Linked DNA regions of Rhinolophus ferrumequinum. The protein of the gene in region 1 purifies or fractionates together with the protein of each later gene. This does not show direct contact. Links are inferred from orthologs where the notes say so. Each region holds a gene or a part of one and is shown in the gene's direction. Other genes may lie near its edges. The genes, in order: PPP1CC, CCDC85C, PEAK1 and DNAAF10.

The links.
Region 2: the proteins of PPP1CC (region 1) and CCDC85C purify together in Homo sapiens (affinity purification with mass spectrometry; 5 studies listed by BioGRID and IntAct, counting the BioPlex papers as one, with this or other methods). This does not show direct contact. The link is inferred for Rhinolophus ferrumequinum from reciprocal best matches to the Homo sapiens genes PPP1CC and CCDC85C.
Region 3: the proteins of PPP1CC (region 1) and PEAK1 purify together in Homo sapiens (affinity purification with mass spectrometry; 6 studies listed by BioGRID and IntAct, counting the BioPlex papers as one, with this or other methods). This does not show direct contact. The link is inferred for Rhinolophus ferrumequinum from reciprocal best matches to the Homo sapiens genes PPP1CC and PEAK1.
Region 4: the proteins of PPP1CC (region 1) and DNAAF10 purify together in Homo sapiens (affinity purification with mass spectrometry; 7 studies listed by BioGRID and IntAct, counting the BioPlex papers as one, with this or other methods). This does not show direct contact. The link is inferred for Rhinolophus ferrumequinum from reciprocal best matches to the Homo sapiens genes PPP1CC and DNAAF10.

The regions. Positions count from the first base shown.
Region 1 is NC_046308.1:6,336,633-6,344,365, reverse strand, and holds the start of PPP1CC (serine/threonine-protein phosphatase PP1-gamma catalytic subunit), read left to right. Parts: upstream 1-4,728; 5' UTR 4,729-4,922; coding exon 4,923-4,977; intron 4,978-7,733. UniProt on the Homo sapiens protein: Protein phosphatase that associates with over 200 regulatory proteins to form highly specific holoenzymes which dephosphorylate hundreds of biological targets.
Region 2 is NC_046289.1:4,646,814-4,654,678, forward strand, and holds the start of CCDC85C (coiled-coil domain-containing protein 85C), read left to right. Parts: upstream 1-4,850; 5' UTR 4,851-4,916; coding exon 4,917-5,697; intron 5,698-7,865. UniProt on the Homo sapiens protein: May play a role in cell-cell adhesion and epithelium development through its interaction with proteins of the beta-catenin family. May play an important role in cortical development, especially in the maintenance of radial glia.
Region 3 is NC_046289.1:100,468,672-100,476,689, forward strand, and holds the start of PEAK1 (inactive tyrosine-protein kinase PEAK1), read left to right. Parts: upstream 1-5,002; 5' UTR 5,003-5,219; intron 5,220-8,018. Other genes in the region: HMG20A (high mobility group protein 20A), read right to left, coding at 4,159-4,244. UniProt on the Homo sapiens protein: Probable catalytically inactive kinase. Scaffolding protein that regulates the cytoskeleton to control cell spreading and migration by modulating focal adhesion dynamics. Acts as a scaffold for mediating EGFR signaling.
Region 4 is NC_046296.1:22,363,025-22,369,865, forward strand, and holds the start of DNAAF10 (dynein axonemal assembly factor 10), read left to right. Parts: upstream 1-3,840; 5' UTR 3,841-3,948; coding exon 3,949-4,131; intron 4,132-6,841. Other genes in the region: RNA-binding protein PNO1, read right to left, coding at 115-232, 466-526, 705-788, 2,855-3,004, 3,240-3,446. UniProt on the Homo sapiens protein: Key assembly factor specifically required for the stability of axonemal dynein heavy chains in cytoplasm.

The DNA.
Region 1 (7,733 bases):
TAAAGTGAACCTCCCTTTGCCAGACTTAGTTCCAAATGGCAGTGCAATCCACCCTCCAGACACCAGGACAGCTTGCTGCTTTCCCGACCGCGGAGTGAGTCATTTTGTGAAGCTACGGAACATTTAGCAAGGCGGTAATCATCCTTATTTCTCTGTTGGGTAAGTCCAGATGGAAGTATATTTAGGGCCTTCTCAGAGAGACACACCCAACATCAACATGGACTCCATGAGGGCCAGGGATAGTTCAAGAAATTTGGAAAGGCCCATCTAAACCCCGCTCCTCGGAGAAGGCTTCTGGACACATCCCAAAGAATCTACTCTCTCTGATCATGAGGAATGGCCATGAGCACAAAGACTGGCACACAGTAAGCACTCAATAAATGCTAGCTATTGTCACCATCATTGTTCTCATTATTACTATTATCTCTCCAAGTACATTGGGAAGTTCATTCTCACAACCTTTTGAGATGAGTGATATCCCCATTTTGCAGATGAGGAAACTGAGGCTCAGAGCATGGATGTTACGTTTTTCGTCAGCCCCTCTCCCTGATCTCACAGTTCCCACTCCTGCCGACCTATAGTCCATTCTCCTTACAGACACCAAAGGGATCTTTTAAAAATGAAATCAGATCTTCTTTAGGAGAAGATGCTCTCTGGCTAATGAGGTTATATGATGTTATACGATCCAACATTTCTTTATGATTTAGGTCTTTTGAAAAATTAAGAGCAATGCCACGCTTATGTAAGACATTAACATTAAGGGGAAACTGAGTGAATGGTATATGGAAACTCTTTGTATTATCTTTGCAACTTCTCAGTAAACCTAAAATTGTTTCAAAAAATAAGCTTATTTAAAAACCAAATCAGATCACGTCACTCCTCTGCCTAACACCCTCTAGTTGTTTTCCATTAGGCTTAGAATAAAATCTGTCTTCCTGGGGCCTACAGGGCCCGGAGTGATCTGGCCTTCGCCTACTTCATCCTTCTCTCCTAACACCCTCCCCCTCACACTATACTCCAGCCACTCTAGCCTTTTCTCCATTCCCCCAGTGCTGGAATATTGTTCCTACCTCAGGTCCTTTGCACTTGCTGTTTCCTTGATGGGGGACTACTCTTCCATGATTCTCTTTCTCAATCTTCTGATTTTGACTCAAATGTCAAATCCTCAGAGTTTCTCTACTATGTGGTGACATGATCCCTTCTAATTCTCTCACAAAACTCATGATTTTCTGGAATTACCTTCTTTGACTGTTTCTCTGTTCCTGTCTGTCTCCTCCACTAGACTGGGAGTTCTATGAGAACTATGCTGATTTGTTCACTGCTATGTCCCCAGCTTCTCACACAGAGGAAGGCCTCAAGAAACATTTGCAAAAAAACAATACCAGTGTCTGCTGGTAATACCACAGGACATTGAAATAAAGCTGGGGACTCTGTCGAAGGGCTTTCACCCGTATTTTTTCCTACGGTTTCCTACTTTATACAAAACCTTCACAATATCCAAGTAGGTCCAGATTTTCTGGCAAACCTCATCAACAACATTTCTTTGAATCATTTAACAATAATAACGCTCATTAAATTGGAAGGGGAAGAGTTCACCCCCAAAATTCTAGAATAGAGTTACAAATTGTTGGCCTAGGGCCAAAAGTAGCCCACAGATGTATTTTGTCAGCCTCACACAGTGTTTTAAACGAATTGGAATTCATGACCAACTTAAAAATTGGAACATTTCACATAAAAATCCATATGCCCCAAATTCAAGTTCTCTTGAAAACTCAGAGGATCTGGCCACACCGTATCCCACAAGGCTCCAATGGAGCAGAGTTGGGAAGTGGCCACACCTTAGATGGCTCTCCAATTCATCACACACAGTTCCTACCCACCTGTGGTTTAATTCTTTCATGTTACCAGCTTGGCCCATTTAGGCACAGGGTCCTCAAAGCTTACAGTATCCTTAGAAATACTATTGGTTCAAATACTTTAGCTACACCCCCCCGCTTCAAATCTTTTGTGAAAGCTCAATGTCTAAAGCAGATAATAGTAATAATAGTTAATTTTGATAGAGTGCTTACTGTGTGCTATGGTTCTTACGTTGGTTGACTCCAGGAGTTGGGGACCAGAACCCTATTAGCTCCCCATCATCTTCAACAAGCCCCTAAAAAGCTCTGTGGATCCAAGGAAGACAGTTCGAAAAGTACATTTTTATCTACTCTCCTCATTTTACAAATAGACAAACTAGAGAGGGGAAGGGACACACCATCTATTTAGACAGTAGCTTTTCTGGCAAATGCTTGTCGGCTGGTCCTTGGGGAGGTCAGAAAAAGGCCAGTAGGGGATAAGGTTTTTCGTCCCAGAGCTGTTGGCTGTGTTCTGGGAGCTGTTCAGGCCTACTCTGTGAGCTTATGCCAGTCTCAGGCTCAGAGCCAGCTACTTCTTTTACACGCATGCCAGCAAAACTGGACTCTGGAGGGGAGTAGCCCAGCAAAGAATGGCGTGTGGACAAAGAGGCCCTCCCCATGTCCCAGTCCAGTCTGAAGTCCTTCTCCAGCCCCGACGTCAGCAGATGTTAACACACCTGCTATTTTGTATATGGAAAATTATGGCACTCTCACTGTGGGTGGAGACACACTTAGATCAGTCCATTGGGTTCCACATTTGTTATGTGCCTAGTGTGTGCCAGGGTTGTGCTGGGTGCTGGGGATTCAGTGGGGATTTATTGAATATAAGGGCTTTAGTTTCTGGCTGTCCTGAGTTCCAGCCCTGGCTCTGTAACTTACTACCTGTGTGACCTTTGGCAAACAACCTAGCCTCTCTGTCTCATTTTTTTTCACCTGTAACATGGGTGTGGTAGGAATAGCACATAATTTCTAGGATTGCCTTGGGGATTCAGTGAGATAGTTTTGGGCACATACTAAGAAGATGAGTACAGTGTTTGTTTTCTTTCTCCATTGCACTTATTAGAAGCTGATATTTTTATTTGCATCTTTGTTTATTGTCTGTCTGGCTCACTAGATGACTCTCCATAAGAGAAGGGCCTGGTCTGTCTTGTTCACTCCTGCTTCCATTCCTAGAACAATGCCTGGCACAGAGTAGGTGCTCCATAAATATGTCTGCTGAATGAATCGCTTTCATATTCCTGCTCTAATTGTCATTGCCAGGATGGCCCTGTTCTGGAGGAGCCCAGAGTCTCAACTCGTCCAGGGAGAGCCACCCTGCCCTCCACAGCCAGCTATTCACAACAGCGCTGGGCATCCACTCCGAATGTCACCAACAGGGCTCTGTGCCCTGGGCTGACAAACAACACTTGTGTGTGTTTTCTAGTGAACAGAGCCACAGCTCTGGAGAGTGCAGTTGGTGACTGGGTAATGAAACAAGTCGCTGAGCAGAGCAGGGGGTGCTCTGAACCTCAGCGCTCTGGAGACAGGAGCCGGTCCACGTGCAAGGACTGGCGCCCTGCTGTGCTTACCACCCCCACCCGCCACACACACACACACACACACACACACACACACACACACACGTCTAATCTGAGGATGGATGCCCGGATGGTGCAATCACCTCCATGGCACTTGGGGATGGGAATTCGTGCACCCTGCGTGCCTTGAAAAACAAAAGGAATTTCTCAGGGGAGGGGAAGGGCTTTGCAAACTGTAAATCGCTGCAGGAAAAAACAGAAATTAAAAGGTCAAGATCCAAGAGAGCAGATGTGTTTTCTGAGTGTGGGCTGTACATCCAAACCCAGATAAAGGAGACCCGCAAAGCCCGGAGGTGTTTGGGGGCTTCCTGTGGAGAGATGGACTTGGGGAGGCTGGGAGGCCGAGGAAAATGGGCCAAAGTTTCCTCGCGTGTCTGCAGAACCCAGGACCTGCCAACAATTCCTGCCCCTGCAAACTCGCTCTTCTATACCGGCCTCCAACTCCAACGCGCGATATCTGCAAATTCTCCCCTTAATTGCTACAAACGCTCGTTCTCCTTCGTTCTGGCTAGAATCAGGGTAACCTTTCACATGATTATATAATTTACCGAGTTCAAGAAAGATAACCCAAACATAAGGACGATGAAAAAAATTGAGGGTAGATTAAAAAATTTTTTTCGCCAAATGTAAAAGTTATGGAGCGCACACAAAACATATATACAAATACCCATATTCCCACCCCTCAGAATGAATAACTGTTAACATTTTGATTTATCTGGGAGAAGATTCTTTTTTATTATTATTAGTCACCAAATAAATCTTTCTCTTTCCCGCCAAGTCTCAGCAAATTTGAATCCAAAATAAGTCAATCTACTTCTATTATTCTCCCTCTCCACCTCCAGCCTAGGTTTATCTTAAGGAGTGAATTCCAGGACCCCCGAATTCCTTCGCTGGGCTTCCACATAGCAGGTCAGCAAACATCTGGCCCCAGTGAACAGCATCCCGCGGAGGCCTTAGTTCTAGGGCGCACAACATCTTTTCCCCCATCCTCAACTACCGCGTGTAACTTTGCAATTCACGCTCCCGCCAGGGGGCCTATTTGCTCGGCCCGTTTGGCGGAAGGATCCCACGCGCGGTCGCAGTTACGCTAAACCGTCTCCTCCCCCATTCCCGCGCTCTGGCCCCGCCCCCTTCTCGCGCCCTGTCCCCGCCCCCTCCCGTGCGCCCTATGGCCCATAAAGAAGTCCCGGCCGGGCCGCTGCACTCCCCCGCGCGCATCCGTGCGCCGCCCGAGGCTGCCTAAGGAGTCGGCGGCCATTTTGTTCTTCTCGTGGTTCCAGTGGGGAGAGAAGGAGGAAGCAGGGAGCGGGGCGGTTGGGGGGGGACCCGCAGCGGCTGCTGCCACCGCCGCCACCACTGCCGCTGTGCTCGTGGCGTGGGAAAGGAGGTGTGAGTCCCGGGCGCGAGCCGCCGGCGGCGCCGCTGCGGGAAGGTCGGCGGTGGGAAGGCGATGGCGGATATAGATAAACTCAACATCGACAGCATCATCCAACGGCTGCTGGAAGGTGAAGGGGGCGGCGGGTGGGCTGAGGGGAGGTGGGTGGCCTCGAGGGCTCGCGGTGGGGGGAGTTGGGAGGCCGGTTGGGCTTGCACAGCGGAGGGGAATGAGCCCGCGAGTTGGCCCGCGGGCTGGGGGCTTCTGCCGGAGGAAGGCCGGCCTGGGTCCGCACTTGGCCCAACCCGCGGACTCTCCCGGCTCCACTCATTCATTGCACTCGAGTGCAGCCTTCTTCCTGGTCGTGGAAATTTGAAAACTCTGCTCCCCACCCCCACGTTTCCGGTCGTACCCCCTTGCACCCCATAAACCGGACCAATCTTTGGAGGAGAGAAGGTTAGGGACCCCAGTCCAACCTGCAGGACGGCGTGTTCCGTAATTTCTGGTACTCGTCCTCTCCGATAAAGCGATTTGATGGGATGTGGGTTCCACCGGGTTGAAGGGCTTCTATCCTGTCTTGCTCATTTTTATTTTCCCTGGAGCTAGGGTCTGGGGGCTCATTTCTTGTTACTTAGTGACCAGCCTTCACCTCTCAAGGGAATGTTGGAACCCATCTTCTCCTGCGCTCCCAAATACTCTTTTCAAGTCGTCTTTTATCTTGAGGTCTCCGCGCTCTTTTCTGAACGTGAAACCAAGGATGATGACAGTTTCGTTATGATCTTTCCTATGTGCCAGGCTCTGTAAAGCGCTTTGCGTTCGTCTAATAAATTACAATCATGATAGCCAGCGCTTACTATGTGTCTGGATTTTTTTTGTTTTTGAGCACTTTACACAGATTCATTTATTCTGCCACCAGTTTCTGCGAGGTAGGTCCTATTGTTTTTTCCGGTTTTTCAGAAGAAACTAAGACACAGAAGTGAAGTCACTTGACCAAGGTTACACAATTAGTGACAGATTTCAAATCCAGGGAGCTAGGACGCTATGTGTGAAGGAAGGAGGTGTCCAGTGGTTAAGCGAAGGTTAAAATAAAGCTTTGGCTTTGGCTGACCTAAGACTCGTGAGATGCATTGCAATTGATTCGTATTGATGTGGGAGACGGAAGAAGTTAGGATCTTAAAGAGGGACGCTGGAGTGAACTCCCTCCTCCGCCTCCGGTTCCCAGAGCCCGTCTACTTTGGGAGATTTCAAATCCCTTTATTTGGGCACGGGATAATGTAGATTTGGCTGAGTTTTAACTTCTTTAATGCCTTTACATTATCCTCCTAGAATATTGTTGGACTATAAATACTGTGAGATGGAGTTAACAGCATGATGAACATGGAGTTAGAATTTTCAGATCTTTTGAATTAAGTCATTAAAATGAAATTCCTGAAAATATGTTTTCTTAATCTGTGCGGGGTATTTTCCTTTTATATGTTATTAAAAGAAAAGGAAAAAACCTACTGAATGGACCCCTGAAAAGCTCTTGAAATGCCATTCCCATTTGTGGGTGAAGACCTTATCATTCATTCAGTACCTGCATTTATTATAAGAACCATGCTTTTCATACTAGTTAATGCCGTTCTTTGATTTATATGATGCAGCAGTGGTCCAGAAACAATTGAACCAGTTTGCAATAAGAAAGGAACTTTTTATTAAAATTTTCATTTAAAATTTTGAAGTTCTGCACTTCTCTGCAGGGATGTATGGCTAGATTGGGGGGGGGGGGCTTTATTTCACTGAGGAAACAGGAAAATGTGAAATCTATGGATTAGAAACAAAATTTAAGATCAGTTAAGTCTCGTTAACTTAAGTTTTGGTTTGCCCATAATTCTATTCACATAACAGATTTTGTAAATTTTAGTCTTATTTTTTAAATTGTGCTAAGAAATTTGCCTTGGTAAACTTGGATCATTTAAAATGAAATCAGTCATTGTTTCTTAATAGTTTCTCTCTGTTGTTATATTGTACTTAAAAACCAGATTTAAAAATTTTTTTTGTTAAAATTAATATAGAGTAGTATGTTTTAGTGCCTTGGGAAAAGGCCAGCTGCACAGTATACTTATATTCCTTTTTTTATTTCTCATCGATGTTAAGTTGGCAGAGAAATGGTGATGATCTATTGAATATACATATACACACATGTATACTGTGTTTTCCCGAAAATACGACCTAGCCAGACAGTCAGCTCTAATGCGTCTTTTGAAACAAAAATTAATATAAGACCTGGTCTTATCAGGTCATAATATGATAAGATATAATATACTGGCGTCTTATATTAATTTTTGCTCCAAACGACGCATTAGAGCTGATTGTCCGGCTGGGTCTTGTTTTTGGGGAAACACGGTATGTATAGATTCAAGTTAGAAGATGTTTATAATACATTTTGTGATTTTTGTAATTTTCCAAAAACCCTGTTCCCCAAAAATTTTAATTAAGATTTAAATATATCTGAAAATGGAGGCAGTGTGATTTTGGGGGACCTTGTTAGAATTTTTACATGTTCAGAATTGCCTCATCTTTTAAGCTAGTTGAAAAGTAGCTCGTTGATAGTACTGAAAAGGCAACTCAAAAGTGAAGTCTTTAAGAAAAACAACATGTTGATTTAGATCTTAGTCACCGGCTTTGCAGTTCTTTTTTTTTTGCACTTTCAGTAGTTTTTCCTTAAGCTAAGTATCACTTGTGCAACCCACCTTAGAAGCTCTTATCCAAGTTTTGCCTCGTTGATGATAAAACTTTATAAGGTTATTTCTCTTTTTATAACGAATGTTTGATTGTTTAAATAACTGCATGGTAAAACTTGGATTTAAGAGAGAAAATAAGCTAGCTGCTGATTTGGTCTCATAT
Region 2 (7,865 bases), on another chromosome or scaffold:
ATGTATGAAATTTGGCCTGGGCTTCTCTTGTGCTCTGAGAGCCCCAAGGGAGACAAAGTGGGTCGTGGAAAGTGCACAAAGCTTCACCCACCAGAGTGACACCACCAGCCGTTGGCAAGGACAGGCAAGCCACACTCTATACCCCGCTGGCGGCAGTGCGAAGTAGCACCACCTCTTTGAAAAGGAGCTGGCGTCATCTGGTCACCCTGAAGCTGTGTGCACTGTATGACCCAGCCATACTGTGTCTCGGCACAAACGTGAGCCAAGTTCATGCTCATGTACATTCTGATATGTGTGTAAGAATATCCATCCATGGCCGCATTGCAGGTTAAAGCAAAAAACTAGAAACAAATCTTCAACAGGAGAAAAGTAAAAGTAATATGTTCGTGCAATGGGTATTAGGACAGCAGAAGCTCCCCCGGGGGCCATTTGGCAAGGTATGGAGATCGTTTTGGCTTTCACAAGTAGGGGTGGGGGCCATGTGAGCCTCAGTGTACCCCTTTGTAACATGGGGATAGAGAACTGTTACCTCACAGGACGACAGTGAGGACTCAATGAGCCCATCTGTGTAAAACCCTAGCACGTGTGGGCACGCAGAAGCGAGCCTTCAACACTATCCGTGTCAAGAATTACGGGCCCTTTTCCATGGGCATCGTAAACATTCAGCGTAGCACAACCCTCTGCTGGGCACACCACCTTCCTCGGCCTCTGAACACTGCCCATAAGTTCACACTCGGTGATCTTAGCTTCGTGGAAACAAACAACCAAGCCAACAGGAATCCATGTTCAATGCCAGAAGAGCTAATGACAACATCTCCTAGGGCTGTTAAAACCATCACGTGAGGGCTGGTTTAGAATCAGACGGAGCTCGGGCAAGTGGTAGGTGGTGGTGATCATTATTACTGTTGTTGCTGTTGTTATCTATCAAAGCCCCAGGGAGAGGGTGATACCACCTCCCACGGCTCACAGAGCCCTTTGCCACCCAGCTCCACTCCTATACTCCAGCAGTGGCTGTGTCTGGACACACCCTCACTGCTGCTCACCTTGGGCCTTGGCTTGTGCTGGTCCATCCACCTGGAGTATCCTGACCCTCTCCTCCCTCCTAACAATCTGACAAACTCCTACTCATTCTTCAAGAATCAACTCCAGCGTCAGCTCCTCCAGGAAGCTGCTCCCAGTGTCTCAGATGCTTCCAAAATGACGTGTTCTGCTCATCTCTTGTGGTACAATTTACAACGTATATATGATCGCATATATATATATATATATATATATACACAAAAATATTACATAAGACTTTACACATAAATGCGTATATATACGTGTGTGTGTATATATATATATACACGCATTTATGTGTAAAGTCTTATGTAATATTTTTGTGTTCAGTAAAACCAGTGAATGAATTGACCTTGGGCAATGAAAGTGACCTTCCTGGGCTCAGTTTCCTCATCTTCAAAATGAAGGGTTCAGACTCAGTGGGCCATGCACCGAAGGGTCGCACATTCACTCAGCAAACACCAGATGGTAACCTGCACCCCCAGTCACGGTAACCTGCGTAACCTGCGTGCCCCAGTCACGCAGGAGAGTAACAGAGCCCTTTCCCTTCCCAGTGGGGAGACAATCACTTACCACCAGGGTGGTAATTTGGAATATTTTGGGGTATTTTGGAATACTTTATTTACTCTGTGTTAGGATACCGGCTCTCGCCCCAGCTGGCTCTCAAAAACATTCGTGTGGCTTTAAATGGACACATACAGTCTAGGAGATTCTGGGGGGGAAATTGGGGATTGGTGGTGCATCTTTATTAAAAGGCCCACAAGTCCGTTGACTGGGTGGCTATCTAGAGAATTACTGTGTTAGAGGTCCATGATCTGGCTTTACCATTTTCATGACAAGGCAGGGCTTCTCATGTCCCAGGGGCTAAAAAGCAGACATGTGACATTTCCGAGATCCTGGCTCGGGCTACAGGGTCTGCTGGGCTTTGAGTATTCTAGGGGACTTGGCGCCTCTTACTGGACCCTGGGGATGTGGGCCTTTTGTGGGCCCGTGGGTCTCCTGCTTAGATGGCCCTCTTGCTTCAGGAGCCTGTTTCAGCTGTGGGCCCTCTCAGCCTTCTGCCATCCTGTCCTGCTCTGCCCGAGCCTGTCCGCCATGGTGCGGGGAGCAGAGACTTCCTCTCAAGCTACCCGGTGGCCTCATCTGTAGCACTTTGTCTTTGCTGCACCAGAGTGATGTTGGGGACGCTCTTGTGGAACTCTTGGCCAGGGGACTCTCGGTCCCGCCGTCTGTAGATGATGCAAACAAACCTCATCTAGATGGAGGCTTCATTTTTCTCTCAGAAAGTTCAGCTAAAGCTGCCAGGGGAGGAGGATCAGGGGATGCAAGCCACAGGAAGCATGAAAAGCCACAGGCAAATGGGAAGGGGGTTCCCACAAGTACAGGGTTAATCCTGCCTGAGACTTCCCTAGTGAGTCGTGCATCGTATGCTCAGTTCTGACTCTCCCAGAAGCAGATCTGTGCCCAGGCTTCATTGGGTGGGGGGAGCCTTCATGGAGCTGTTTAATTTGGCTTCTTGGGGTGAGAAAGACCCATGGCCTCCCCAATATGAGCTGAAACCCTTTTTCTCTCCAAACCCAAATGGCTGGGCCTGTGGAGCACAGTGCCCCAGAAGGGGAGAACGGCCTCGCCAGGGTCTGGGGGAATGTCAGCTCCCCTGGGCTTAATCCTCCAAGCTATGCCCCTCAGGCCCATGCTCTTCCCACCTGGTCTCCTGAACATCTACCTGCAGAGAGGAGTGGATGGGAGTGGGGGGAAGGAGGTACTGAATCTGGACTTCTGTGCACACCCCTCACCCCCAATCCCTTCTCCACATATGGCCTACAAGCGAGTCTCCGAAAAGGCAAATCGGGTCATGTTGCTTCCTGCTAACTCCCCACTGCTTTCCCAGCTGCCTTAGAACCAGGCATGAGTTGGCCCCTCTGGCCTCATCTCTCACCCCCCTTCCTTGTCCATTCCCAGCCTCACTGGCCTTCCTTGAATAGGCCACTAACAGGCCAACCCCAGGGCCTCTGCACTAAGTGTTCTCTCCACCTAGGGTTCCCTTCCTCCTGTCTTTGTCCTTTTCTTTCAGATTTCAGATTAGATGCACCTCCTCAGAGGTCCTCCCTGACCACGGGATCTAAAGTAACTGATTATCACTTTCTGTGACAGCAGCTTGTCTTAATTCCCAGCCCAGCACTTACTACAGTCTCATAGTTACCTAATTTGTTTATCTTCTCCGGGTCTCTCCCCCGAGAGGGCCGTGGCCTCTGCTGTCGTCCCCTGCAGAAACCCCTGGGAGTCTAGAACAGGTCTGGCCTAGAGAAGGCGCTGCGAACACGGGTGTCGGGTGAATGGTTGAGCAACTGTAAATGGGGACATCAGCTGCTGCGCGGGCGCGCGCTCCAGGCTGTGGCTGCTCACGGTCGAGTGCGCGGGTTTTATCTCCTTGCAGGTCCCGGGGGACCGACACCCCCCCCTCCGCTCTGCTCTCAGCAGACGAGCCGTAAATGCTCTTCGGGGACACGAGGATAACGAGACAGACTCACAGGCTGTGGGAAGGGGCGAGGCTGTCGGCTGGGAGGGGGTTCTGCAGCCCGCTCGGCGCCCTGCAACCCCGGTGTTAAGGCCCCAGTGGGAGACCTTTCTCCACTGTCCCAGAGGTTTTCACCTTGCGAATCGCAGATTCCCCCCGTTGTCCCTGGGACCGGCGGCCGGGTGTGCGGGGAGTGGAGCTTTGAGCGCCGCTCGGGGCGGGGACACGTTCCTGGCGCCCTTGTCCCCTCGGGGCAGGGAATAGGGTGAGGTGCTCCGGGACACCGCGGGCGAGGCCCTGGCCCTCCCCGTGCTCACAAGATAGAGCCACAGCCCCGGGCTGGAGAGGAGACGCAAGCTCTCTGCGAGTTCCGGCAAGGCACCGCGGTGGAGATGGGGGTGAAGGAGCAGGGGGCAGGGTAGGGGACAAAGAGCCGCCCTGCCGCCGGGAGAGCGACCCCCGTGTCACAGGCCTATTGTTCGTTGTATCTCAGACTGAGCTGGACTCTGGTGCCCCGGGAGGGAGAACGGGAGCTGTCCTCCGGGTCGTGGGTGTTTATTGGGTACGGGGAGGGTGGGCGGGGGTCGAGGGCCTGGGATGGGGCTCTGCGCGCAATTCCGCACGTCTCCTTTAAGGGAAGCCCGGCCCTACCTTTCCCACCGTCGCCCTCCCCATACTGTACCTGCATTTTAAAAGCGCCCTGTAGCCCTAGGATTGGCCCAGGCAGCGTCCTCCGGGCGCAGAAACTTGAACCGCCGGGGGGATGGGGGAGCGTTGGAAGCCCAGTGGGTGGACTGTACCATCTCTTCGGCGTCCCCCGCGTGCGCCCCGCCCCTCCCACACACCCCCGAAGAGACCCAATCGGATGGGCGGGAGGGCGGGACCGCGGCTCGAACGCGCCTCTGGCAGGGCGCCTGGCGGGCGGGCACATAGCGCGGGGGGATGTCGGGGCTCGGCCGCGCCTCACCCCGCCCCCTCGCTCCCCCGGAGGCGGGGCCGGGCCACGGCGCCCCGCCCCCTCCCCGCCCGGAGTGGGCGGGGAGGCTGGGGCTCCCGGAGCTGGGCCGGGGGCGGGCCTCCGCCTGCTTCGCCGGAGTCCGGGGAGCGCCTGGCACCGCGGCGGCGGACGCAGCTGTGGTCCCTGCTCGCCGAGCCCGGAGACGCGCGGGTTCCCGGCGGCCCCGGCAGGCGCTGCGTGAGGACGCGAGAGGCGGCGCGGGGCGGGCCGCACGCACCCCCGGCCGACCCCCACCCGCGCGCGGACCGGCCCAGCACAGCCCGGGCGCTGGGAGCGCCGGCCCGGCGAGGGCGCGGGCGATGCCGTGGTGACGGCCCTGCCATGGCGAAGCCCCCGGCGGCGGCGGCGGCGGCGTCGGAGGAGCTGAGCCAGGTGCCGGACGAGGAGCTGCTCCGCTGGAGCAAGGAGGAGCTGGCGCGGCGGCTGCGGCGAGCGGAGGGCGAGAAGGTGGGCCTCATGCTGGAGCACGGCGGCCTGATGCGCGACGTGAACCGGCGGCTGCAGCAGCACCTGCTGGAGATCCGCGGCCTCAAGGACGTGAACCAGCGGCTGCAGGACGACAACCAGGAGCTGCGCGAGCTCTGCTGCTTCCTCGACGACGACCGGCAGAAGGGGCGCAAGCTGGCGCGCGAGTGGCAGCGCTTCGGGCGCCACGCGGCTGGCGCCGTGTGGCACGAGGTGGCCCGCTCGCAGCAGAAGCTGCGCGAGCTTGAGGCGCGCCAGGAGGCCCTGCTGCGCGAGAACCTGGAGCTCAAGGAGCTGGTGCTCCTGCTGGACGAGGAGCGCGCGGCGCTGGCGGGGGGTGCAGGCGGCGCGGGCGGCGGCGGCGCGGGGTCCCGCAGCTCCATCGACAGCCAGGCCAGCCTGAGCGGGCCGCTGGCGGGTGGCGCGGCGGGCACCGGGGCCCGCGACGTGGGCGACGGCAGCAGCACGTCGAGCGCGGGGAGCGGCGGCAGCCCGGACCACCACCACCACGTGCCGCCCCCGCTGCTGCCTCCGGGGCCGCACAAGGTCCCCGACAGCAAAGCCGTAGCCACGCGCAGATCCCTGGACGACCTGTCGGCGCCACCGCACCACCGAAGCATCCCCAATGGCCTGCACGGTAAGGACAATACCGGCGGGGCAGCGCGGGTCACGGCCCCTTCCCCCGCGGGCGCCACCATTCCAGACCTCTCCTCCAGCTGCCATCCATACTCTGGGCAGGGCGATCCCACGCACACCCGCAGTAGAGCTTTGGGTGGCCTTTTTCTGCTCAATTGCTGGAGGCGTGTCCCTGCCCAGCTTCTGAGCCGCAGCTCGGCCGGGACCCACCAGACCCCAGAAAAGTTTCTGTCTTGCAGAGTTATCAGTATGAGTATCCGGGCAGGCAGGACTGGCCAGGGGCGCCTCACCCCAGCCCGGAGACCCTTGTCGGGGAGTGGGAAGTTCTTCATGGGGAAAAAACAAAAAGAAAGGCCCTTTTAGCATGCATGAATTTTCCCTCTGACGGAGCAGCAGGCTTTCCCCACCCCCAGCTCCGTCCACGTGTGTGCTGGGGCTGGAATTCCACCTGAGCCTCCTCGTGCTGCCTGCTGGCTGGGAAGGAGCACAGGCTGCTAGGATGAGACCCAGAGTCATTGGGCCAGAGGATGGGGCTTAGAGCCTTCTGGGTTTGTTAATTGTCCTGCACTTCTCAGGGGTGGGGAGACCTTTCTCAGCGGAGGCTCTAACTTTCCAGAGGAACCTATGTGCCAGGAGTGGATCCTTGGCCCTTTTTCCTCTGTATGCCTCAGTTTCCTTGTCTGTAGAATGGAGATGGTGGTCCCTGCCTCCAGGATCTGAGGTGGAGAGAGCCTCTGAAGGGATTTGTAAACTGTTGGTCGCCTTTCAGGAAGAGTCATGGTGTTAGGTGTTAAGGGTGTGTGTGGGTGGCGGGACCTTTGGCCTCATGACAGCTCAGGTCTTCCAGGCCAGTGTGACTGACTGTTGGGCCCAGTGCAGGGCGCCCCCGGCTTGGGTCTGGGGAGTGGAACAGTGGCGCCCAGTCCCAACTCCCCTGATCGTTTGCCCTCCTCCCTGCTGCCTCATTCCTCTCCTACCTCCCTGTTCTTTCACATTTTTGGTGGCTTAGTTCCCAGTTCTGGTGACAATTGCTGCTACCTGAACTGTTTGCCCAAAGGTGGAGATTAAACAGCCCTTTCTGGTTCTTTTAAAGGCTTCCCTAGTTCAGAGTAAAATATATCTAGGCCTTAAATGACCGCTCTTTCCCAGAGTGACAGCCTAAGCAGGGGAGGGACCTCTCTAGTGTGGTGGCCAAGTGGCCTGTGAAGGCACCTTGGGGTGGGGTCTGGGGTGGGAACTGGAGGTGTGGTGATAATTAGTGTAGGACAGTTTTTCCTTTATTTATCTTTCCAGCTTGTGAGTTCAGGGCAGGACCAGGTTGAGACCGATATTTTGTTACTGATTAGCAATCTATGACTACCACTCCGGTTACTTTTTGTAACTCTGTATTCACCGACCCTCCCCCCACTTCAACCTCAGGCTCCTTAAGGCCAGTGGCAGTAGCTCAGAGTTAGGTGGTTTAACGTGTTGGCGTTTCAGGGTCTGGGGGATGAGGAACTCCAGTCCTAGCCTCTCTGGCTTCACCTTCTGGGGGGGCCTTGGGAGAGTCAGATTTCTGGGCCTGGGTTTCCCCAAGTGCATTAATAGGGAGGGACTGCTTCAGTCCTGTGGCTGGGAAATGAAATGTTTTCAGCTGCGTCATTGGTGACACCTGGCAAAAGTGGTTCACTGCAGGGCACTGAGGTGCTTGAGTGTTTAGCATATTTGCAGAGAAGTTCTGTCACCTTTTGGACAAGGGGACTCGAACCCTGTCTGGCTGTGTGCCAGTTGCAGCAGCCAGTGATGCAGGAGTGGGGAACTGCACTAGACCTGAGGGTTTCCACCCCACTGGGTGGGTGGGGGTTGAGGTGTAGGGTTTCCTGCAGAATCATGTACCCCTCCCCCAGGTCCCCCACACACTGCGAACAGGACTGCTGCAGGCTTTGTGGTGGCAGACCTGTGCTTTGGGGCGCACTGAAAATTCAGCATCATTATCACAGATTTCAGTTGCAGACAGTGCAGCTACTGTTAGTTTTGTCTCTTAAAGTCATGGGTGGCCTTGAGCTGTTCTCCCAACAAGACGAACAGGGTGCCTGGAAATAAGGCAAGGCCCTTCTCTTAGAAACGCCTTTTTGCAGGCTGTAGATAAAACAAATAATGAGCCTCAGCCTGAGTGGAGGAGAAAGTGGA
Region 3 (8,018 bases), on another chromosome or scaffold:
ATTGTGTCAGGTATGACAGGAGGCACAAATAGGAATAAGAGATAGTCTGAAGCCTTTTATGGCAGTACATAAACCATACATATAATAACAATAACAAACCGAAACAACAATAGCAGCAGCACTGAATATTAAATACTGTAAGTACAAAATGGAGGTTCAACTGAGCATGTATGATTGAGAGACTGGAAAGACAGACATCAAGAAATATTTCTTGAAGTTGAAGATGGTACCTGAGAAAGGGCCTCAAAGAAGGTGGCATCTGATAAGGATTTTTAGGGAAAGCAAAAGTATTTCAAGGCAGAGGACAGCATGAACAAAGATAGACAGGATATAGTATAGAACTTTTTTTTCAGAGACCAACCTAGTTAGGAATGTACTATAGATAGCTAATGAGAGATATGGTCATAGTGTGAAGGGTGTTGAATGTTAGGCTTAGCATTTAAATAGGCTTAGAAGAATGGGTCTAAAGTCTTTCCACAAAAATTCAAATTACTTTAGTGATTCCTTAACCTTTTCTTAAAACTTTTCTATTATGTATGTTTTCTAAAGTGACCATGGAAATTAGTGATACCATGTTTCCCCGAAAATAAGACCTAGCTGGACCATCAGCTCTAATGCGTCTTTTGGAGCAAAAATTAATATAAGACTCGGGCTTAGTTTAATATACCAGGTCTTATATTAATTTTTGCTCCAAAAGATGCATTAGAGCTGATTGTCTGGCTAGGTCTTATTTTCAGGGAAACATGGTGTCTCCTTCTCACAAGAAACGAAAAATAAAATCTTGACAGCTAAGTGAGCATGCTATTAGGGAAAGACAGAATTTCAATAATCCTAGTACTGTATCCTATACTTTTGGGAATATGAAAGACTTAAAACAGTCATGTGGGCAAATCCCAATAGCTAGAAGAGCAGAAACAAGACTGAGAGGAAAATAATAGCATTCATTAAGCTCATAATAACAGCCATTGTGCCTGGTGATTTACATATAATATCCTTGATCCACCAAACAACCCCATTTAGGTTTATGGCAACTGAGGCTCAGAGAGGTCAAGTAAACTGCTCAAGGCTGCCAAGCTAATAAGCTCAGCTAGTAAAATGTCCACACCAGTTTTGAACGCAGGGCTGTGTGATGCCGTATTTCCCCCATTGTTCACTTTTGTTTTTACCATATAAAGGAGTGAGTCTAGGATGGTAGGATCATAATGCATGTGTTAATGAATGAGGCTGAATATTTAACACATGGGCTTGATGGGGTGGAGGAAAAACAGGTTGAAATTTTCAAAACTGGGTTTAGAATGGCTTGGAGATCAACCCTGAGAGAGATCAAGTGTAGGGTTGCTTCTTGATCCAATCTGAACGATGATCACACTACAGATCTTACTTAGGAATAGTAAGTAATTTGGAAATGAGAGTAAACTCCAATAGAACACGGGTATTTGTCTGTGTTCACTGATGCACTCCAAGTCCCTAATACAGTGATTAGCACACAGTAGGCCCACAGTAAACTTTTGTTGAAATCACAAAAAGTCATGTAAGAGGTATTCTCATTTGAACACTCTTGAAGGCCCTGAAGTACAGGTAAAGATTGCAGAGTAATAAGTTTAAAAACCATTCAAAAACCATTCAAGTTATTAGGAGACTCTCTTTAACACTTGACCTCATGGCAAAATCTACTAAAACAACACACGAAAAAGTTATAGTTGTAAAACATTAGTATGATTTTACAAAAAAAGGTAGACAAAAGAATGAAAAGACACTTTTGCATTATATATGGTGTCTAGTGTTTTGTGGCTAATCAAATGTCACTGAGATGAAATACAGAATTTTGACTTACTGCTTTAATATTTCAAACCTCTGTGAACAGTGTATCCAAATGACTGCTTCTGGTTATCTAATCTAAACACTCTAAAAATGGACAAGTTCTTTATTATAGATGGCAACTAATAGAATGAAAATCTCAAATTCATTAACTCAAAGATGTAACAAGAGCACACTTACAAAAGCATTTTTCTAACTTTGATAGTATGGTTCTATTAGAACATGCAAAGAAAACTGCAACAAAAAGCATTAAGAAAAAAAAAAAAAGCCTTTGGGAGATAGCAATCCTCTTCACAGAAACACTTTTAGAGAGAATTAAAAGCAGGTTCGCAGGTTCCATGACTTTCCCTTTATTTTTCACAAGCTTTTCTAGTATTTCTTTTTGGATGGAACCAATGAATAACTACCACTTATCACAAAACATCCTTTCTCAGATATGTGCTTTATATATTGCAATCTTCTGAACAGTTTTTCAAGCTGCTCAAGTCTTTCAACCCCAGCAATTTTTCTTATTTCTATTACACTGCACTTATTCCATGAAACAGCACAGAAACCAATTTAATCAACTTTGCTTTCTTTTTTAAAAAACTTCTTTGCTTTCCGAAGTTTCCAAAAGGCAATACTACTATCTCAATCAATATTTTAACGATGTTTTCTCTTTTTCATTTAGTTCCAATCTTTACTTACTTCAGTAATTCCTAATACTATAGTTTAACAGTTTAATTTGTCAGAATGACCATATCATATTTTCCTCTATATTACAGTAATATAGAAGACAGTGAACACCTTCTCTCTAAGCAATTAATTAATACTTGAGGCAGTCTACATGTCTGTAACCTTATAATGACAACAGACATTTTGTCTTGCCTTTTCAACTACTGCAGAAATGTGGTAGTCTTTAAAAAGATAACTCATTGATTTTTAGGGTCTTAGATCTTTCTTGTCTACAGAAGGTTAAAACATATTTTTTCCCTTTATTGTAACATGTAATTTAAAACATTTTCTAATAAACTCTAAACAAAGTAACTTTTTAAAAGAACTAGAATTAAAATAATTGCAAATTCTGAGGACAGATTAGGTAACAATCTCAAAAGAAAAAAATACACTGGCTTCATTCTTTTAAAAATCCTTGAAGAACATCACAGTTCACTTGATATTCTAAAATTGCTACAGTTGTTGAGATTTCGTAATTTCCAAATAGACTGATTCCTTCGTTATACATCCACCCACCCCAAGTATTGTGGTACTTGAAAACAGAAGCCAAGAAATAAAAATTGTTGAGTGTTCATTCCACTTCACATATAGTTACTTATAAACCATTGATAATATAGGAAACAGAAATTTTTTTCTTAATCATCTTTTGTCCTTTGTGAACCAAATTCCCCCCGCCCCCCACTTAAAATCTGGGCTGAATCTCCTGATTCTTGCACCATGCTTTAAAACCCCAAAGAACAAATAGATACGGCTGTTGAACTGATCTGAATTTAATTAAATCACAAAGGGGGAAAATGTATTCGGCTAACTTTCACAAATGCTACATGTTACAATTATGATTATTTTTAAGTCTGAGGAAGTTGTTCTCAGGCACAGGGCAAACCCTGTAGTCCAAAATCAACAGGTTTAGGAAATTTAAGATACCATATCAATTAAGGCAACACCAAGTATTTGAGTACTTCAGTATGATACTTTCACTCCGGTAAGGTGAACATGCCTCATAATTTATGTAAAATGTCGCGTTCTGTAGAGTTCCTGTGTCATGTCAAGGCAGAGAACACTAAACCTGTCGGTGAAGGTTGGACGTGAGTCGGGGAGCAGAGCTGGACAATTACGAGTTACACAAGAAAGTACAGCATGTCATTTCGCAAAGAGGAGGAGAGAATTTTAACAAATGGTTTCTATTCTTTGGCGAGCGCATTAAGAAAATTTTGTCGGTGAGAAAATTTTCCATCTTACACATTGAAACAAAATTCACATAAATTCTTACTGGAGGCTGGAGATGAGCATAAATTGGTGGAATAATCTAACTTTTCACATAAAACACAATTCCAAACCTTTAAAATACGTGCTGTACTGGCAACAAGCACCACCTTTTCAAGACCTCGCCGGCACAGGAAGTGTGGGAGGGACACCCCCAAATCATCCCCCTACCCCACAGGAAGTGAGTTGTTTCCCCTCCCCCAGGACGGCCTTCTTCCCCTCCCCCAACCGGAAGTGAGGCGCCCCCATTCAGTCGGCCTCAACCCGAGACAAACCAATTAACAACAGCAAAAGAGCGATGGTCTTCAAGGGGTGAAGGGCACCCCCACTGTGGCCACCCCCAAGCTCGCCTTGCTTACTGACCTGCTGACGATAGGGGCAGGCAGGGGCCTGGGGCTAAAGAAAGTCCCTGCACAGAGGACAATTCTCTGAGCCCCTCTCAATCGCATTCACTCTTCTCACTCCGTCGTCTCGCAGCTTGACAAAAAATTCCTCCGCAATACTTTATTATGATATCCTTCTTTCTTTACGTAATTGTTTAACTATCTTCCCATAGGCAACTTCTCTCATCGCAGTAACATTTAAAATTGTTTCGGTAAGGAGAAAAATGAAATACTATTCCCAATACCTTCCGAAAAATGAAGGGATTATTTTGTTCAAAAGCGGCGAAGGACTACGTGACTACGCAAAGCGAGACTTATTTTCGCGAAGGTTTCTGGGAAGTGTAGTTTTTAAGAATTGCTAAGGTCTGCAGTAAGTATTGTAGCTTAAATTGGCAATTACTATCGAATGGAGTCCTTGAAAACACAAGTTTCGTGTTCGACGCAGGCTGACCTAGGAGGCTCCGGCACCAAATGGGCCAATACTTTGTTTCCCTTTTCCTCTAGAACTTACTTGAACCGAAATTTCCCTTCATGCCGGCCCGAGGTTCTGGTCGTCCCGCCCTCCTCCTTTGGTCACACTCTCCTTAGCCAATCAGAAGCCCTCTAGGTCTCATTCTATTGGGGTAGGAACACGAGAAGGCGGGGCCTCACGGTGATACCTCCTGAGGGACGGAGGCGCGACAGGGCAGAGAGGGTCGAGGGCTTGTGCGCGCGTGCGGGCTCGCTCCTCAAGGAGCGCGGCGGCGAGTGCGCGCGCGGAGGGCGGTGCGCGGGGCTGGGAGGAGGCGGGCGGGCTGGCTGGTGGGCTGGGCGGGCGGCCGGGAGCGCGCGGTGGACTCGGCGGCGTCGAGTAGTTAGTTGTTGTTAGTGTCAGTTGGTCGGCGGCGGTGGCCGCGGTGAGCAGGAAGGGGACCGGCCGGCTGGCGATGGTGGTCACCGCGGTGGCGTGTGCGCCCCTCAGGTAACGGGGGCAAGGCTGTCCGCGTCCCCTTCGTCCCCTTCTCCTCTCGCGCCGGCTTGCGGAACCAGGGTCGCCGCGAGGTGAGGGCGCTAACTGGGGGGAATCCGGGCGGGGCAGCGCGGGGTCTGGGGAGCGCCGCCGCGGGGGCTCGGGCGGCGGCCCCGGCGCGGGCTCTGCGGCCCCGGCCAACCCTGCGCCCCCCCGCCCCTGTGCCCCCGGGGCCCGCCGGCACCGCGCGCCCCCTCGCGCCCCTTCCTGCGGCGGTGGCGGCAGCGGCGGCGGCCCCGGTAGCTCGGCGCCCCCCAGAGGAGGGAAAGTTGGGATCTGGCGGCGACGGACGTCTCCGGGCGCGGCTGGGAGCCTGGTGGGGAAAGTGAAGGCTGGATGGGGGAGCTGGCCGGCGGGAGCTTGGGGCAGGAAGGGCTCCCGTCCTCTTGCTAAGTTCGCATGGACGTCTCGCCCCGATCCCCGGAGCACCCGGCGCAGCCTAGCCAGCAGCGCCTGGACGAAACCGGTGGCTCTTTGCCTGCTCACTTGGGGCTGCGGTTTGTGAGCCCCCTAACTAACGTGCGGCTTTGCTTGGTTGGTCGGTTTGTTTCTCCTTTGCCCTTTGACTCATCCCGTTCTTGCAACTTTTCTTACCTCCCGCGATGGGGACTTGCGGTCTGAACCCCCTTCCCACCTCCCTCCCCGTCGCCTGCACCACCCGTCTGAGAGTTGGATTTCGTGTTTCGTCCTTTGGTGACGTTAAAGACTGCTGAGAGCAACAGGAAAGAGGAGCCCTCCCACCTTTAAATGTTACTTTCTTGCAATCCGTTATTATTTTTAAGACCCAAGTTTAGGAATTTGAGAGCTGTGGAATGGAGTTGTTGGAAGGCTGGCGTTTTGACGAATTAAAGGAAAACTAGATTTCATCTTTATTGGCCTTGCTATAGGAAGCCTAATACATTTTCCTTCTGCCTCTGTTAAATATGGTAAGAGTATACGTTAAATTACATATTTGGAGACCAACATACAAGGCTATTTTTTAGGTCATTAGATGATGTATGTCAACAGCTTTTCACCCGAATTGGGATGGCCTTGAGGATTCTGTTTTGGGGCCTACCTACTGATTTTTGTCTACCAAAGTAAATGAAATGATGTAGTAATGTGTGTATTTGGCAAACCCATATTGCTCTCTGCGGTGTGGAAGTTTTACGTGAATTATCCACAGGGGTAAAACTTTCCATGTGCAATCTTGGATACCTGCTTCTTGATGGCTTCCGTAATCTCAGAACATTTCTAGACAGTGCAATTCACTGACTACCTTAATTATTTTCTGAAGTGCTTGGCACTTCTCTTTGGTGACTCGTTTAGTAAACTATAATGGCAAGTAGGGTACATTTTCATGGCTTCAAATATGGAGTTAGAGTCTCAGCCCAGAGATTAACAGTTAACAATGGAAGCAGAATTCATACCATTGCTAGTGAGTTTTGGCTATGACCAACTCACAAACTATGTGAAAAACAAACATCTTTCCATAGCTGTCAGAGGGGAAGAGGAGAGAATATTTTATCATGTCTTTATTTTGGAGACTCTAACATGGCTGTATTATGTGGGAAAAAATGTCAGATTATTTTCTTTAAGGATTTTTGATGTGTGGTCCTCCTCTCCATCCCTCTACCCTCCATTGAGGGGCTGACATTTATGCTTGGCTGGCTTCCAGGAAGCGAAGAAAAGTGTTTTGTTGAAAGGAAAAGATAAGATTGCTTTGAACTATTATACTATGACTATTCATTTTACCCAGTACAAAGAAATGTCCTTGATAATTTTTGTACCCCATTAACATGCTGTCAGAATTCATTTTTAAACATACCCCGAGGCCCATAAGGAAATAATGCCACTTCATAACTGTTCCTGACAATCACATTAAAAAGTTGTTCCTGGAATGTGTTATGCGTGTATTCCTATAAACATTTATCTTTGTATATTTATGGTAATGTAAATATTTAAGTCTGTGAGCTTAAAAACTTTGATTTGCTTATTTGCATACATGTTTTTCAACGTCTAGCAGTACCAACCATATTTGCCAAATAAGCATCAGCCATAAATTCATGCTCTGGCACATTTCATATAGTAACTCTTTGAAATTGCTCCATGGTGAAGCATCATGAGATTAGCATTTCTTCGTGAGAGAGATTTGTTGTTGTTGTTAACTGTAGTGACGTGCTATGTAAGTGGAACAGGTGCGGGGCTCTCGCTGTTTGTGTGGAAACCTGCCAGATCATACTCTTTTGTTGGATGGGTTGTTTAAGTAATTTAGAAACCAAACTGTGGCTCCTGGCATGCCAAGTGTGAGTTCATGGCTCCATATCATTGCTGCAAATACCTATTTTCACTGCAAGAGGCAAGTGTGTGTGATGAACTTTATTTTCTCATTGCTATTCTCTTTACAGTAATTCCTACTTCCCACCATCACCTGAGTCCTTTCATTACTGGAGAGCTCCTGGGAAAGTCGAGGCTCCTTCATTACTGGTTGTTTTCCTTGGGGAAATTCTAGTAACTTTCAGGCCAGGAATTGATAGTTCACATTTGTTTGACACATATTTCGAGTGCCTTTTAAGTGTTAGGCATGGTGGTAGGCCCTGAGTATATGTAGAATGATATCCCTTTTTGCAAGGAGCGTACAGTTTAAGAGAAGATAGCTGATAACCAATAATTACATTGTGATGTGTTGTAGGACAGGTATAAGCAGATTCTTATGGATGGAAGCACAGAGGAGCAAGGGTAGTTGACTAACTACCCACCAAGACTTAGGGTCTTGGTGGCACGAGAGTGTCCTGTAATACTTCTTAGTGGGTTACCTGAGCTAGTCTTCAAAAATTGGAGTTATCTAGGTT
Region 4 (6,841 bases), on another chromosome or scaffold:
GACAAAGATTTAGTGGCAACATTATGCATAAAATACAATCTTTATGATCTTTTGAAACCAGCCAAAGATCAAATATAAATCATGACAGTAATTTTCTTAAGATCACATACTTACACATCAGCCAAAACTATCCGCGTCCGTGTCACATTCTCTATGGTGAACTTGGTTTTTCCTCCTTTGCCAGCGATTCTTCCTATTGCCCTCGACAGGTGGTCTCCCTTCAGGGGCTTCACTAATAAGAAAAGCAAGACCTCTAGGCAAGCCATTCCAGTGCACCACCCACTTCCACGTCAAGTTTACTCATTAACGAAAATTCTCTACTAAAAGACACAAAATATACATTTTTTTAAAAAACCTGCTAATACAGCTCACTTGATGCTATTAGAAAGTGGGGTGTCACACACAATACTAAGTCAGCAGTATAAAAGTACAGTATTTTGCAATAAACGACTACCACATACTCACCATCTGTAATTTCAAAAGACTCTAAGAAGAGGTCATCCAACCTAATGAGGGCAAGTGCGTCCTACAATATAAAAATAAATACTGTGACGCCTTTCCACTTAGATAACTGAGAATGAGCATTAAGCTAAAATTTACAAATTGTACAAAACTCAAATGGAAAAATAAATGCCCAAATCCACTGAAACAATCATACTGAGTATGTTTCAAGCCCCTATTTCAGATGTCATGAAATCACTCACCTCCACCTGAAATCCGAGAATAAAGGCTTTCACAAAATCAGCTGCTTTTGTCAGAGCACTAACATCTTTGGTTTCTTTACAAGTCTGTTTTAAAAAAAAGGCACAAATTGTAGGTGGGGATGAAAAAAATAACATTCTAACAGAATACTAGGAATGACCTTGCCCACTATTGTAATTTCCTTCACCACCACCCGCCCCAGTATTTTCTCTCTGACCCAGTTTTGGGTGAGGTAAGTACTGTGTTTAATTTGCAAAACAAAACTTGCCCGGCTCCAGAGCTGGACAGTTCCACCCACAGACTGTCCAGTGTCTGGCTGCACTCCATGACTGATCTGCCTTGGGGGTTAACAGCGAGATGCCTCTGGCGCAGCACAGTGGCTCACAGGCCGAAGGACTTCCATCCTCAGACCACCAACTCCAGTACTGACTACCATTCTTGGTGTAAGCAGGGATCCTGCCCTCAGAGTTTATCTGATAATCACAGAAATAGCTGCTATTCATAAAATACCACTGTAAATGACACGCACTACAAAGATGCTTGACACACTCTAGTTCTGCTTCCTGACAACCCTGAATCTTAAGTGATATAAATACTTTATATTTGAGGAAACCAAAGTACTAAAAAGTGAAAAAGGTTAAAAATTCAAATCCAGGTCTGACTGCAGAACTGTTATTTCCATTTTCCCACACAGACTCACAATCTAGTTGAGGAGACCAACTATTTGGCAAATTTAAAATCATACAAGGGTTATATAATGACACATTTAAAACTAGACCCCAGCCCCAATCCCATACGTGACCTTGGGCAAGTCCCATAGATACTCTAGGTCTTAAGTTTTCTCATCTGTAAAATAAGGAGGTAAGAATAGGAGATCCTGAGAGGTCGCCACTAGCATCAAGAGTCACTTATGATCTTGATGACTTTGGCCGACACTCCTTTGACCCTCAGTTTCCTCACATCCATAAGCCGGGGATATGTCAGCTACCTCGTAGGGCTGTTCTAAAGGCCAAAATGGAGCACTGCACACCAAGCACCACTGCTTAGCATACGGCAGTATCAACGAGTGTTAGTGATGACGCTGCAACACACAGGACGGCTAAGTGCAATGACAGTTTAGTCACTGAAGACATAACTGAAAAATGGAGCGATCATAAAGGAGAAAGAACTTGAGCTAGACCCTGAAGATGAATGGCACCCAGGGAGGAAGACAAAGGATGTAGGGAGGGGAGGGCCTTCATGAGAGAGGAAACCCATCCGTATGAATGGACATAAAAATGTTCAAAGAGATGATGAGACACCTACTTGAAAGGCAAGTTCAGTCAAAAACTTAACTTTTATCCTTCAGACACACTGAAGATAACAGGGTATCATAATAAAATCAGTGTGATCTGGGAAAATGAATCTGGCTCTGGCATACAGGATGGAGTGGTGAAAACACAAAGCAATGAAGCAAGGGAAACAAGTTTTGGCATGAAACCATAATAACCTGAATGAAAGTGGCAAGAACCTCTACTGTCAAGTTCTATATTTTAAACTTTACCAACAGTTTGGAGTAGTGCCTCTCAGCTTTATTCCATTATTCTAGTCCCTCAGCAGAGAGGAGTCTATACCAGTCCTGATGGCAGTATAACAATCCTCAAAAAGGAAGATATAATTAATTTTGGTCTTTGATTCTGATACAAAATTGGCACTCAGAAAAAGCCCAAAGTCAATTAATTTTAATTGTATAACTCCTGGACTGATACCATGGAACGAAAAAAATATACACATATATGTAGACATAGATGTGTGTGTGTATACATATATATATAATTTATACTTATTCTCAAAATAATACATTTTCCCCCAAAATAATACCATTAAAATATATACTGCCTGTATTGCAGCACATACTTCAGCTCATTAATTACATACTTATGTTTATGACAACCTCTTCACTTCATATATCAGACTCGATATATATGAATTCAACTAATATGTATTAAATGCAGACTCCGAAGGCATTTGAAAAGTTCAAAAATCACTAAATTAGAAAACTGGGAGAAAACCATTTAACAAAATAAGTCCCAGTGAGGAAAATCTATTCATGCATTTTCATCCCTGTAGGAGAAACCCTAGTGTATTGGGAAAAGGTTGACATTCTCCTTACCCTGATTTCTACATTCCTCGATTTCAAGTTAAAGCGTATCTGAAGTCCCAAGTGTTCTACAATGGGAGTAAATATCTTCATCCAGTTTTCTTTCAATGGTGTGTATCTGTTAGCTGGGACTGGAATTTTTCTTGTTTCTTCTTTCCCATCCTACAATACAAGAACACACAAGTCGAGATGTCTGGAGGAATGGGGGCGGAGTTGTAAAATGACAGCTGATCCTCAAAAAAGCTTCCTTTAACTGAAAGAATTAAACTTCAGCCGAGTCACTTCTCCAAAAACTTCACCCCAGAAGAGGCCCCGCAGCTTCAACATCACCCAAAGGCCACCGGCTTGACCACCCTCTGGCCTCTACCCCGTTCCTGTCCTATGGTCCCGCCAGTACCAGGAACCTGTCCCCGGAGAGGGGCGGGAAGACAGGCCTCTTCGCGGGCCGGGCCTCCTCCGTGTCCATGGGGCCCGCGTCTCCGTCCTTCCCCGCCGCGGAGATCTCCTCGGCCGGCCGTTTCTTCGCTCGCCGGCCACCCTTGCGGGTGACCTGGGTGAAGCCGTCCTCGGCCCCGGTGCTCTGTGCCTCCATTTCGGTCGCCATCCCCAGAAATCTCCAGGAGCAGCCGGCGCTTCCGGCTCGAACACGTGCGCGGCGGCACCGCGGCGGCTCCAGCGTCGGCCAACCCACCCCAGGGCTCCGCCCCCTTTCCTAAGAGGTCCCACGCAGGGGACTTCAAGCCCGATTCTGTGTGTGCTTGTTGGGAAGGAAAGGGGGTTATCCTACAATATGCCTTAGTCTTAGGGTCTCCCTCTGGTCCCGCCACAGCCCGAGCATTTTGTGATCTCTCATCTGAATATGTGCGAAAGGCAGTAGGTAAAGGCAATGAACAAATTTGTGCCATCGGTGAAGAAAAATCTTGTGTGACTTCAGGAGCACATCTGGCATTAACTAAGACAACTACATCCAGCTTGCTAGGGCGTTCGGGGACGAGTACGGCAAGTGGGAAGGACAAACTGTCATTACTGTTTGGAGTCTGGTTTCCAGGTTAGTGTTTTGTCAGGGTCTGAGTGTGTCAGTCGGAGGAGGCGAAGTCGGCTGCACTATGTCGGCCTTTGAGAAGCCTCAGATCATCGCCCATATCCAGAAGGGCCTCAACTACACGGTATTTGACTGTAAGTGGGTGCCCTGCAGCGCCAAATTTGTGACCATGGGCAACTTCGCACGGGGTACCGGCGTCATTCAGCTGTACGAGATCCAGCACGGGGACCTAAAGCTGCTTCGGGAGGTGGGTTCAGGGTCGAGACTGCCCAGTTCCAGGATCTGGGAGTGCCGTTGGCGACGAGTGCGGATCTTGGGGGTCTGCATTTCTTTTTGGCAAAGTTTTCGTTCAGGGTCCCCTAAAAGCACAGCTTAAGCTGCGCGGGAGTAGCGGAGATGACTGAAGATTGAGGAATAACTTCGACGTAAAATGCTTACGTTGGAGTCTTGAATTCTCCGAGGGCTTGTGCATCCGCGCCCTGCCGGCCCTTTCCTTCACCCACCTCCACAATCCCGAGCGAAATCTCTGGAAGTGACGTTCCGACTTCGGGTCTAAATTCGAGGCCCTTCTGGGCAGTGCGCAGTTTGTGGAGAGTCTGTCAATAAGGCCCCTGTTAGTAAAATGCTTCTTCACACAGGCAGAGCCAAAGCAGGCACCGGGATGCCTGCGGTGTAATTGGAGGAGACAACCTAACATTCATTCTTTCAACAAGTATCAGTTGATTGACGGGTGTTCCCAGGCGTGTGAATGACAATGTCGCCGATCTCATGGAGTTGTCTAGTGGGAGAAAGTATCAGTTAAATAATCACACCAACGATGCATAAATACAAACCAAGGTGAACTCTAGCGTAAAGGAACACCGTTCTATGAGAGTAAAACCAGATTTGAGATGAGTGGAAACTAACTAGGCCAAACTAGGAGCAGAGAAGGAGGTTTCCAGAGGAAACAGCATATGCGGAAGCTCAGCGGTGGGAGAGACGTTATTTTCTGAAACAGGAGAGGTAAGCAGGGACCAGCGTTGCAAGACCTGTAAGTCATTTAAAGATTTATGCCTTTTTTCTAAGAAAAATGGGACATCACTGAAGGGCTGTAAGCCGGGTGTGGCAAGCCCAGATTTACGAGTTTCGTAGAGATTACTTGTGAAAATTTGAAAGTAGTGACATTAACTAACATTTTTATACCAATTTAGAGTTTTAAAAATGCCTTGATTTGGGTTGCCTAAAAAAAAAAATTGTCATACTCAGATGTTTAGGGTTGTAATAGACTACAGGGAAGGTTGACAACTCCAAGGATCAAAAGCTATGGAGAGAATCTGCTTGGAGGACTAAGGGGTTAAACAATTTCGATAGGAAGGATTAGATTAGGAGGTATGTAAGGCCCCATTCCACTTTAATTTTCTATGAGTGCCAGGTTTCTTGGTCAGTTTGTCTTCTCTAGTCAGGCACTCTACTCTGAATAAACATGGCTTGTTCTTTTCTACCTTTTGTTGTATCTCCCAGTTACGTGTTGCTATTTAAAGGTCCAGTTCAGATTTTTTGATTTATGAAGTCTCTTGCTGATCCCCACACAACGTAACTTTTCTTACATTGCATTCCTATGGTACTTACTATCTGTGCCTGAAATACAAAGGGTGCCAAAAAAAATGTATACACATTTTAAGAAAGGGAAAAACTATTAAAATTGTAATGCTCAATATATACCGATAACAAAAGATGAATACAAATCACGTTTGACTTCTGCAATTACAAAAGGTCCTCAAAGTGGTTACCATCAGCGTAATTTTAATACGGTTTTTTTCTTAAAATGTATATACATTTTTTTGGCACCCTCTCTATATCATTCTGTTCCATTTATCTCTAATTACCGTATTTTGCTCTGTATAATGTACTCCCTGTGTATAATGTGCACCTATCCTTTTGGCCCAAACTTTCAGGGAAAAAACCTTTTGTTTTAATTTTTTTAATTCAAATTTTTATTTGTTTACATTTAGATACTTGTTTTTTGTATTATAAAGGAATTTTAGCATTTATTTTTAATCATATTACGGTACAAGAAATTTTATGTAACAAATAATCACAAAACACAAGAACAAGTACAAAGTACAAAAAATTTTATGTACTGGTAACAAATTTATGATATTTACGCTTTGTAGAAGGCCAAGAACTCTTCATCGTTGCAAGTTCATGGTAAGTTCAACAAAACTGATTATCGTATTCCAGGGTATTATTTTGCATATGGATATCGTTACTGCTTTCTAGAGTTACACTTTTAACTCATAAGCAGAAATAAAAGAATTAAAAACATTTATATAGATGCGGAATTAGTACTACCCGTGTATAACATGCATCCTTGTTTTTCCCTCACAAATTTGGGCAAAAAAGTGTGCGTTATACACGGCAAAATATGGTAGATTGTAAGCTCCTGGAGAGGAAGGAAGGTGTCATTCTTTAGTGTGGTATATAAGGAGCAGTCACTCAATAAATTATTTGTTAAAAGAATGAGTAAATGTATGTCTATAAAATAATATAACTTGGGAAATTTAAATATTGGTTTATTGACCATTCGATTGGGGTCAGGGGTTTGAACAGATGGGAAATATTAGAATAGCAGAAAGAAACTTAGCGGTGAAGTATTAGGAACAAATACCAATCAAAGCTCAACCAAAGAGCATCTATCTACAGACTTGTAACTTTTTTTACAAAACTATATCATTTGTGTACATTTTAGGAATATACTTGTTCATAAAGTAAAATAGTGCTCTTTGTTTTTTGTAGAGATTCTGGAGGAGTCTCATGCATTTTAAAAATAATTTGGCCTTTTAAACAAAAGTGATGTGTTAACGATAGAACATTTTAGTTTTCAATTAGCCGTAATTACGCTATGGATAAACCTCATTGGCTAGGATACTGCCACTGCGCAAAGCTTGAACATTTTAAAAATAGATATAGGAAAAGAA